3 linked regions of the Sus scrofa genome follow. The protein of the gene in region 2 interacts with the protein of the main gene of each other region in a pairwise test. Links are inferred from orthologs where the notes say so. Each region holds a gene or a part of one and is shown on either strand. Other genes may lie near its edges.

Evidence for each region.
Region 1: the proteins of NDOR1 (region 2) and TCHP interact in binary tests that used the Homo sapiens proteins (3 or more experiments, as listed by UniProt). The two-hybrid records come from large-scale screens. The link is inferred for Sus scrofa from reciprocal best matches to the Homo sapiens genes NDOR1 and TCHP.
Region 3: the proteins of NDOR1 (region 2) and CIAPIN1 interact in binary tests that used the Homo sapiens proteins (3 or more experiments, as listed by UniProt). The two-hybrid records come from large-scale screens. The link is inferred for Sus scrofa from reciprocal best matches to the Homo sapiens genes NDOR1 and CIAPIN1.

The regions. Positions count from the first base shown.
Region 1 is NC_010456.5:41,074,648-41,079,148, forward strand, and holds the start of TCHP (trichoplein keratin filament-binding protein), read right to left. Parts: upstream 2,998-4,501; 5' UTR 2,844-2,997; intron 1,305-2,843; coding exon 1,111-1,304; intron 2-1,110; coding exon 1-1. UniProt on the Homo sapiens protein: Tumor suppressor which has the ability to inhibit cell growth and be pro-apoptotic during cell stress. Inhibits cell growth in bladder and prostate cancer cells by a down-regulation of HSPB1 by inhibiting its phosphorylation.
Region 2 is NW_018084833.1:692,142-695,000, reverse strand, and holds part of NDOR1 (NADPH-dependent diflavin oxidoreductase 1), read left to right. Parts: intron 1-942; coding exon 943-1,040; intron 1,041-1,887; coding exon 1,888-1,986; intron 1,987-2,068; coding exon 2,069-2,170; intron 2,171-2,266; coding exon 2,267-2,476; intron 2,477-2,767; coding exon 2,768-2,859. UniProt on the Homo sapiens protein: NADPH-dependent reductase which is a central component of the cytosolic iron-sulfur (Fe-S) protein assembly (CIA) machinery.
Region 3 is NC_010448.4:19,363,086-19,366,585, forward strand, and holds part of CIAPIN1 (anamorsin), read right to left. Parts: coding exon 3,493-3,500; intron 1,563-3,492; coding exon 1,486-1,562; intron 76-1,485; coding exon 1-75. UniProt on the Homo sapiens protein: Component of the cytosolic iron-sulfur (Fe-S) protein assembly (CIA) machinery required for the maturation of extramitochondrial Fe-S proteins.

The sequences.
Region 1 (4,501 bases), on a different chromosome or scaffold from region 2:
GCTGGGCGAGAAGGGGCCACCAGCAGTCAGTCAGTCGTGCCACAGCCACACGGGGAAGGGTAAGGCGCAGCTCAACGTGGGGGGTGAAAGAGGCTAAAGCCAACAGAATGGGGTGACCCAGGAAGGTGCCCTCTGGCCAAAGGAAAGAGAGCAGGTGACAGAACACTAGACATTATAGAATCTTATTTTTGCAAGAAGAAAATGTATAGTGAGCTTACATATGCATGTGCTAAAGGGACTAGCTAATATTTGAGCAATACCATGTACCAGGTTTTATATTAACCCAGACAATTTTATACGAATCATCACACAAATCCTGTAAAGTAGGTTCTGTTTTAGTCCCACTTCACTGATGAGGAAACTGAGGTTCATTCATATAGCAAGTGACAGTCAGGATTTCTATCTAGGTCTGTCTGACTCCAAAGCCTATGTTGTTGTTTTGTTTTGTTTTTTTGTCTTTTGTCTTTTCAAGGTTGTACCCACAGCATATGGAGGTTCCCAGGCTAAGGGTTGAATCGGAGCTGTTGCTGCCGGCCTATGCCACAGCCACAGCAATGCGGGATCCGAGCCACATCTGTGGCCTACACCACAGCTCACGGCAACACCAGATTCTTAACCCACTGACTGAGGCCAGGGATCAGACCCACAACCTCATGGTTCCTAGTTGGATTTGTTTCTGCTGTGCCATGACGGGAACTCCCAAAGCCTATGCTTTTAACTTCCATGTTTTTATATGTATTTCTATAAAAATGGGTATCAGTATGTACATATATTTACACACAACCACAAATGGAGAAAAGTATGTGGGGATGTGCACCAGTTAACTGTGGTTCCTTCCTGGGGATAGGGGGTTTCAAGGAGACTTGCAGATTCTACATACATTTCTCATCATTTTATCTTTTTCAGTACAAATGTGTTGCTTCACTGACGATCTTTTTCTTTTTTTTTTCAATTTCCAGTGGAAAGACATCACCGTGCAGGTGATCCATGCAATCCAGTAAATTCCTTAAGAACACATGCTGGCCAGCCACACTCCCCCAGATCCTCAGGTCACATCTGACCAGAAAGTGGCCCACCAACCACAGATGGTGGTGGTCACCACACTGTTACCTCCGCTGGTAGGAGGACCTGGAGCTCCATTCTGCCTGTTTGGAGCTGCAGATGTCAGACATCTTGAAGTAGCGGCTGTTCTCATCCCACTGCTGCCGAAGCTGGGCCTCCTGCTCCCGGTGTCGCTGTCGTGCGGCCTGCTGATCCAGGAGCCTTCGGCTGCACCAGGAGGAAGGCAGTGTGGGGAGTGCCATCTGAGAAGAACAGCATTGGTAAGAAAATGAGCCTGTGCCAACCCCTTGCCCCTTTAATGAGTGGGCCTCACCCCTGGGCTGCACATTGGGATGGTCTGGTAGAGGCTGGGTCCTAATCCAGACCAATTGAAAGTCCTGTGTAGGCCCCCAGTCATTAGCACTTTAAAAATGACTTGGTGGGGGGATAAATTAGGAGTTCAGGATTAGCATATATACTACTATGTATAAAAGAGATAAACAACAAGGCCCTAGTATATAGTGCAGGAAGCTATACTCAGTGTTTTATAATGACCTATAACAGAAAAGAATCTGAAAAAGAATATATAACTGAATCATTGTGCGGTATACCTAAAACTAATACAATATTGTAAATCAACTATATATCAATTTAAAAAAAATAAAGACTTGCCACTGGGGCTGCAAATCATCTATTTAAATAAGCCTGGACTGCACCCAGCTGTGAGCTAGATGTCATCAAGGGAACCACAGACATAGAGGACCAGTCCTGGCAATGCTAGACAAGCACACTGGTGACTTCTATGCACTGCCTAAAGTAACAGAGACGATAACTTAAGAGATGTGTTTGTGTGCCAAGCTCATGACATGTATGGCCTTTTTTGATGTTACTCTCACCCCATTATTTGGATAGGTGAGAAAACTTAAGTTCAAAAAGGTAAAACAACTTGCTCAAGATCACAAGGCCAGGAAGTAGAGAAACTTTATAAAAGCTAGGGGATCCCATTTCCTGTCAGTCTGAGAGGAGGGCCCTGGCTTTGCAGACAGCGAGAGGCTGCCTGTTGGGATCCCTTTGGCAACTCCCAAAGAGGAGCCCAATCCAGGTGTCACACCTGGAAGTGCTCTGGATTAGCAAGAAGGGAGACCCCTCATTTTACAGATGGAGAAACTACAACTCAGAGAGGAATCGACTTGCAGATCAAGGAGCACTCTGGAGACCCGACAGCAGAACCAGTCTGACTCCGGACACCTCTTCCTCTGGTCCAAAAGCTGCCCCATGTCCAGGGTCTACACAGTGTCTGGCTATGCTCGTGCTTAAGGAGCGTCTATTGAATAAGCAAACTCAGAGCCCTCCAAACCTGGAGGGAAATAATCTGCTTCTATGAGCCAAGTTTAGCCTGAGGCTGCCAGTTTATGATCTGTCTTAAGACTGTGCCAGGCTTGACAAACTTTCTTCCTAGTCCTGTGATCCGCCTGCAGATAAACTTTGCACCAGGAATCAAGAAATGTAGGATTCCAGTCCTGGATCGGCCACCAACAAAATGGGCTGCTCCCTGAACTAGTCGAATCCCTCTCTCAGCCTCAACGGCCACGAATGACAAAAGCGGTTACACAGGCAAGTGTAGGACCCAGATCGCGCGCAGGGAGCAAAGTGAGGACCGGAAGTCGAACCCCCGCAAGCCCAGCGATCGCCGTCTCGGGTAGGCGGGCGAGCTTCCCGCCAGCGCGGGCCTGACTGTAGCGGAGCTCTGCGGGTCCCGTCCCCAACGCCGGACCCCGGCCAAGCCCAAACCCCAGACTCACGTTTCTCTGCACCCCGGAGATTCGGAAGAGTGCCCCAGCCCGAGCTCCCGTACGCCCCAACTAAGCCGAGCCCAGCCGGCAAGACGCTCCGGGGAAGCGATGCACCCACCAGCCTTTTCCCCCTATCGTTGTCGGGGCAACGGGCCAGTGACGGGGCGCGGCGAGGGCCAAACTTCCTCCCGCGCGATTGCTGGCCGCTCTGAAGGAAAGAAAAAGAGGTTGTGTTTCTCTCTGGCGCCCCCGCGTGGTGGGCGGGAGCTCAATCGCAAACATCACTGGTCCTGTAAACTGGGAAGGAAAGAAGAAAAGAATCCGTTCACTACACCAAATTCAGAATGGTGGCTACATAGGGGAGACAAGGATGAGGGTTGGGGGAAATCAGAAGAATATAGAAGGGGATATATAAGCCACATGAGAATCATCTGGGAGCTCTTAACAATCCAGATGTCCAAGCCAAACTCCAGAGAAATCCCATCAAGCTCCCTGAGGGTATCAGTGGTTGTGTAAGCTCCCCAGGTGCATCCAACGTGCAGCCAGCTCAAAGAACTGCCGATGTAAATAGGTATGAGTTATTAGTAACTTTCTATTGTCTTAGGATGGTGGTGGGTTCAAGGGTGTTCATTCTCTTAGTGTGTTTTATAGCTCGCATGTGTTACATGTATTAAGTATCAATCATTCCATTAAAATAAATAATAAAATATTCACTCTTTCATTCATGTTCTTTTCATTTTCTCATTCTTGCCTTAATTTCTTTTTCCCTTCATTCCTTCATCCCTTGTCCGCTTCTCTCTTTTTCCTGGATGCAGAGTAATGTCCTTTGAATGTAGTGGCCTCTGTTGCAGCCTTGACCATGCTAGATGTGTGGTCTTGGACAGGTCACTTCATCACTCCATGCCTCAGCATCCTCATCTGTAAAATGAGAATGTTAAAGTAATTGAGAAAGGCGGCCATTTGACTGGGGAGGCTCTGACCCTTTGGTAGCCTATGCAAGCAAACCTAAACCTAGGTCAGATTCATCTGAGCTAGTGAAATTTACCAATCCCAAAGAGCCAATGAGGGAGTTCCCCGTCATGGTGCAGTGGAACAAATCTGACTAGGAACCAGAGGACGCAGGTTTGATCCCTGGCCTCGCTTGGCGGGTCAAGGATCCGGCATTGCAGTGAGCTGTGGTGTAGGTCGCAGACTTGGCTCGGATCCTGCGTTGTTGTGGCTGTGGCATAGTCTGGCTGGCAGCAGTAGCTCAGATTTGACCCCTAGCCTGAGAACTTCCATATGCCGCAAGTGCAGCCCTAAAAAGCAAAAAAAAAAAAAGAAAAGAAAAGTAAAAAACCAAATAGCCAATGAGACTTTCCCAAACAAGGCAGTTACTTAAGCGGCAGGCAATCAAATGATTTCCTCGTTTCCACATCTTCTCTGCAAAAACCTCTCTCCTAGGTTCTGCCCGTACACATTCGGTTCAGTGCTACCTGATTCAAATCAATAAGTCTTGACATTTTTACTGTGCCTCAGTTTATCTTTTAACAAGAATACCAACAGGGCTGCCTTCTAGGGTTACCCTTGTGAGATGCAATGAAGGTTTAAATGGAGCACACCTAGGTGCAGAGCACCTGCTGTCCCACAGGGGCCCACACTCTCTCACATCTCACTTTACTTGACAT
Region 2 (2,859 bases):
GAGGCCTGGGCAGGACATGGAGCAGGACGTGCTCCGGAGGGGCCACCCCAAGGGGGACGCTATGGTCAGGGAGGGAGGGACTCGGGCCGGCCCCTTGGAGGTGTGGGTGTAAGGCGCCTGGGAGAGGGTGACAGCCGTGGGACCCCTGCTGGCCTATGGACAGGCTGAAGCCCTGAGGGAGGGGAGTGCCCGAGCAGCCCAGGAGAGGAGTTGCAAAGGAGAGCAGAGGCCACGGAGCTGGGGGAACTGGGGCCCGAGAGGGGCCTTGACGTGTCAGCCCAGAACCTGTTCTGTGGCCGCTCAGGCCCAAGCCTGTGGCTGAGGGCTCAGGGCCGAGGCGGAGCTGCGCAGCCCCCTCTGGGGAGGCCCCTGCCTGCCTGTGCCCAGCGGGGCTCTGCAGCCTCCCCTGAGAGCCCCCACTCGAAGCCCCTCGCCCAGAGCCCAGCTCCATGGTGGTAGCTCTCGGCAGGTCTCTCCTTTACCGTTTTCTCTTTTTTCCCAAGCCTCTTACCTGTGTGATAGGATTTATTTAAAAGGGTCTTGTCTTGGAGTTCCCATCATAGCTCAGCGGTTAGCAAACCTGACTAGTATCCATGAGGTTGCAGGTTCGATCCCTGGCCTTGCTCAGTAGGTTAAGGATCCAGTGTTGCCATGAGCTGTGGTGTAAGTCACAGATGCGGCTTGGATCCGGTGTTGCTGTGCCTGTGGTGTAGGCTCGCAGCTGCAGCTCCGATTTGACCCCTGGCCTGGGAACCTCCATATGCCCGGAGTGCGGCCCTAAAAAGACAAAAGACCAGAAAAAAAAAAAAAAAGATTTTAAAATGGTCTTATCTTAATAACAAAGCTGTCGAGGAGCAGGAGAGCAGGCCCCTGGGACCCCCACCCCACCCGCGGGCCCTGGTGGCCCAGAGCCGGCCCGAGCCTGGTATTTCCTGGCTGTAGGGCTTCTGGAAGTTCATATTCCGAAGAAACCTGCCGTCGACCTCCCTCTGTCAGATGGACTTTGCCGTCCTGGGCCTTGGGGATTCCTCTTACGCCAAGTAAGTGAGGGCAGGGGGCTTCTGGCCGCCAGGGGCTATCCTGGGGCACGTGACCAGCCCCCAGGCTCCCCCTTTGGGACCTGACCCTGGCCATGCCCAGAGACCCTCCCTGGTGGGCTCCTCCCCCGCAGCCAGAGGCCTGGGGCTCCAAGGGCAGGCCGGCGGCAAGGGCTGGGGCTGGCTTGGGCCTCTTGCAGGGCAGGGGTGCTGTCTCGAGCCAGACTTCCTGGGCCTGAGCCAGTGTCCTCTGTCGACATGGGACTTAGGGCGACCAAGGCCCACCCTGCCCTTGCCCGCTTTTAGAAACAGGCTCTTTGAGATGTTCGGGCTTAGGCAGAGTGCAGAGAACAGCAAGAAGCGAATAGGTGGCTAGCATGGGAGACAGCAGCCCCAGGGCCACCCTGAGGCCGCCGCCTCTCCAGGCACAGCCGTGGGGCCTCCCGTCTCTGCTTTTTGCTTCTCCCTGTTTTCAGGACACGCTGTGTCCTAAGCAGAGAACAGGGGAGGGCCACGGGCTCTGCGTTCAAGGGCAAACAGCCTGAGTTCCTGAAGCGTTAAAACCCCGACTGTCAGCTCAGGGGCTAAGGGCGGGGCCCGCACTCGTCCAGGCGGACGGGACAGGAGGGCGGCCACGCATCCACGACCCGTCCACGGGGCTTGCGGTTCTGTTCTGTGCGTGAGGCAGACATCTGTCGCCGCAGGAGGGGTGAAGGGTCTCTGTGGACAGTGTCCTGGGAGGTCCTGTCATTCAGGGAGCCGCAGTGACAGCCAAGGACCCCAGGAAGAGCAGCTGGGCTGTCCCTTCCGCCTCCAGCGCGGGGCCCGTGCCAGCCTCGTCTCTCCACAGGTTTAACTTTGTGGCCAAGAAGCTGCACCGCCGGCTGCTGCAGCTGGGGGGCAGCGCCCTCCTGCCCGTGTGTCTGGGCGATGACCAGCACGAGCTGGGGTGAGTGTGGGAGGGGGCGCCCTCCCGCGGGGCCCAGCCACGAGCAGGGCCCCAGACCCGCATGCACCTGTGCTCCCTGCAGGCCTGATGCCACCATCGACCCCTGGCTACGCGACCTGTGGGAGAAGGTACTGGGGCCGCATGCTGTGCCCCTCGACCTTGGTGTGACCGCGCCCGCAGTCCCGTAAGTGTGGGGCGCCCCAGACCTGGCCTGGCACGAGGCTCCCAGGGGCGGCGCTTCAGGCCAGCGGGGGACTGACAGGTGTCCGCCCCCTTGTAGCTGGCCCTCCAGGTTCACCCTGCAGCTCCTTCAGGAGGCCCCCAGGAAGTGCTCGGAGGAGCTGAGCGTGGCCGGGACAGACCCTCAGGGACCGCCTTCAGAGCTGCAGCCCTTCCTGGCACCCATGGTCACCAACCAGAGGGTCACCGGCCCCTCACACTTTCAGGATGTCCGCCTGATTGAGTTTGACATCTCGGGCTCCGGGATCAGGTGAGGGTCTGTCCCCAGGCTGCGCAGGGCCCGGCCCCGTCGGGGGGCAGGGCTGTGGGCTGCGGGCCAGCAGGTCCTCGCCCAGAGCAGGCGCTCAGCAGGGTGGGGAGCTGAGATGATGGTGCGAGTCGGGGGCCACACCTCCACCCCGTGGACCCCCCGCCAGCCCTCCCTGGACACCTGTTTCCTTCCTCCGCAGTGTCCCCGGAGCCCCCAGCCTCCTCCCCCGCAGGCAGGCCCCTCCCCCCACCCTCGGGGTTCTTCCCACACCCTCGTGGCTTCCCCACACAGCTTTGCAGCAGGCGACGTGGTGCTGATCCAGCCCGAGAACGCGGCCAGCCGCGTCCAGCAGTTCTGCCAGCTGCTGGGCCTGGACCCCGACC
Region 3 (3,500 bases), on a different chromosome or scaffold from region 2:
GAGGCTGTCGCTGCGGTAACCCAGATGTTCCTGGACAGATCCAGTCTCCTCGGGGCTCAAGGACTCGCGCTGCAGCTGGAATTGAAGACGGCAGAGGATGAGCCAAGCCCCACCCACGATGTGATGCTGCCCCACGTCCATGGAGTAAGACAGCGGGAGAGCCCGCACTTCACCTGGTGCCTCACATCCAAGTTCCTACCAATCAGGACCCGAGAGTGTAACTTTTCTCTACATGTTTCCGTTGAGCCTCCCCCTTGGAAAGTTAAAGAATTTATCGAATATCTGTCTGTGAGGTACAAGGCCCTGTGCTCGTCATTGTGGGGGTTGTAATTATGACTATCAAACGAGTCAAACATGCTGAACAGGCTGTCGAATGGGAAGCCTGCCCACAGTGAAGATGCTAGAGATGAAATACCAAGCACAGGAAAGGGACCACAGGAGCGGGAAATGCTTTCTATGTTCCTTGGGAAGAAGCAGCAAATGGTAAAGGTAGGAAAAAAGGTGGGGGTGCCACCTCTATGTCCAACAATCATGGAATAAATAAATCATAGTCCACCTATAGCACCGAATAGTGGTCCATCATTGATAGGAAAGTGGGGCAATACATAGAGGTGGCTAAATGGCAAGGACAGCCTGAAGCAGGGAAAAGAGCTAGGGACTGAACACGTGTACATACAACCTTATTTACATTAAAAGGGGATATGCATACACACACACACACACACACACCACACACTTGTAAATACGTTAAAAGCAGTCTGAACAGCCACACTAAAAAAATGTATTGGTGGCTTCTTCTGGGGAGCAAAGTGTAAGCAAGGCCTGGGATGTCACTTTAGATTCTTCAGTCTTTATTGAATTTTTAGGAACAGTTCAGATTTTAGAATAAAAAGCAGAGGACCTTTTAACTTAAAAATAAGAAAGGGAAAACATACAGAAACTGAGGCTCTAGGGCACGTACAGATCAGTGGTGTAACAGCTATCATGGTACAACCCTTACCTCTCACACAAGAAAATTTCAACGTGGGAGAACAATGCAGAACCTTCAAGACCTCTATTTAGTGTTGCTATTTCTAATGAACTGTCAGAACTGGATTCCCCCTCCAATCTATTCCGGCCTCCCACCAAAAAGCTAAGGAAAATACAGGTGACTGCCTTTCACTTGGGCCTAAGATCTGTGTATTAAGAGCTGTATCGCTTTCTGCCTGCATCAGTGGTCACGACTGAGATCAGAATATGCCGCAGGGCCCAGGGCCCAAGCTGCGTCTCTTCAAAGGAGTTTATTTCCAGCGGTTTTGTCCTTTGAGGCATCCTGTATCTCACATGCGAAGCATTGCTCAACCTATTTCTTAGTCTAAGCAACACTAATCACCTCACCTTCAGGGCTGTTATTTCTCCCTGATTCTCTATCATCTGACAAAGAGATGCTGGGTTTAGTTACCCAGGACTTAAATTCCTAGCAAATCAGGTCATCTACAAACATACCTCTTTTACTTCCACAAGACCAGAAAGAGTCAGGGCTGAACACAGCTTAGACGCTGTCTTCACTTTGCTGTTGTTAACTGCCAAGAGGAAAACCCCAATTAGTAGCTTTATAGGTCAAAGCAGGAAAAATAATAAAGGCTCTATCCTATCTGGGTTAGCAGGCAATACAATACTAACCTGCTTTGTTCAATGTACATATATTTTAGTGATTTTTTTTTTTTTTTTGGTCTTTTTGCCTTTTCTAGGGCAGCTCCTGTGACATATGGAGGTTCCCAGGCTAGGGGTCTAATCGGAGCTGTAGCCGCCGGCCTATGCCAGAGCCACAGCAACGCGGGATCCAAGCCACGTCTGCAACCTACATCACAGCTCATGGCAACACCGGATCCTTAACCCACTGAGCAAGGCCAGGGATTGAACCTGCAATCTCCTGGTTCCTAGTTGGATACGTTAACCACTGAGCCACAACAGGAACTCCCTATTTTAGTGATAATATTTGAATTGGACAAATCCTTTTGGTTGTGCAAAGTGCTCTCACCCATGCTCTTCAGTGTTATAGACAGTAATTCCATTATTATTGTTTCTTATCACTCTCTGCTTCTCGGAAATACCTAACCTTCCAGGGGCTGGTGGATAGTGACTGAGCAGGAGGCTAGAAGCTGTAAGGTACGCGAGCATGCTCTGTATACCTCTGATAGACACTGTGTTCACCACCCTCGGCTGACATCTCAGCAAGGAAGGCAGTATCTGCTCCACACATCACAAGTCTAGATTTCAACCTAAACACCTTTATACATTTCAGAATACTTTCACTTACATTATTGGATAAAATAAGTCATCACAGGTTGATGGGAAGTCTAGTTAAAAATGCTAAAACTCTAGAACTGAATGACTGACAGCTTCACCCCGGAACAAAAGAGGTTTTTATTTCTTGGACTCCTATCTTCAGTTTCATGTGAATCAATATTTACCTCATCTCTCTCAGACTTCTAGTCACCATTTTTTTTTTTTTTTTTTTTTGTCTTTTTTGCCATTTCTTGGGCCGCTCCTGCGGCACATGGAGGTTCCCAGGCTAGGGGTCAAATCAGAGCTACGGCTGCCAGCCTACGCCACAAGCCACAGCCATGCAGGATCCGAGCCATGCCTGCCACCTACAGCTCACAGCAATGCCGGATCCTTAACCAACCGAGCAAAGCCAGGGATTGAACCCTCATCCTCACGGATACTAGTCAGGTTTGTTAGCCACGACGGGAACTCCCCAGTCACCATTTTTTAACTTTTTAGTTTGAAATAACTATAGATGCACAAGAAGTTAGTTAAAAAAAAAGTTCAGGGAGGTTCCGAGGACCCTTCACCTTGTCTCCCCACAATAACATCTTACACAACTATCACACAATATAAAGACCAAGAAATTGCCACTGAGAGTCCACAGAGCTTATCCAGCTTTCACCAGCTTTGTATATACTTCTGTGCATGTGTACAATGTTCATCACTACAAGGAGCCCTCATACTACCCCTTTAGAGCCTCATGTACCCCCTCCCTCCTATTCTTAGCCCCAGACGACAGCCAACCTGTTCTTCTCTGTCATTTCAAGAACGTGACCTGAATGGAATCATACAGCATATAAGCTTTTGAGATTGGATTTCTTGCACTCAGCATGATTCCCTTGAGATTCACCCAAGTTGTTGCACATGGCAACAGTCTGTTCCTTTTTCACTGCTGCAGAGTTTTCCATGGTGTGGATATACCACAGCTTAACCAGTCACCTGATGAAGGACCCAGCCATTTTCAAAAGGACAGTTCCCTTCCACCTTACTACTTAATGGGTCAAAGAACACAGTTTCTTCAGATGTGTTGGATCAGAGTCTCACAATAATTTATGCCTAAGGATAAGGCTTAGTATAGGAATATGATCTCCAAATGATACTTCCTGCTCTGAGAGATACCGTAAACATACCTAAAGATTCAACACTGTTAAACTCCAGTCTTTCAAGTGAAGATTTCCTTACCTACAGCT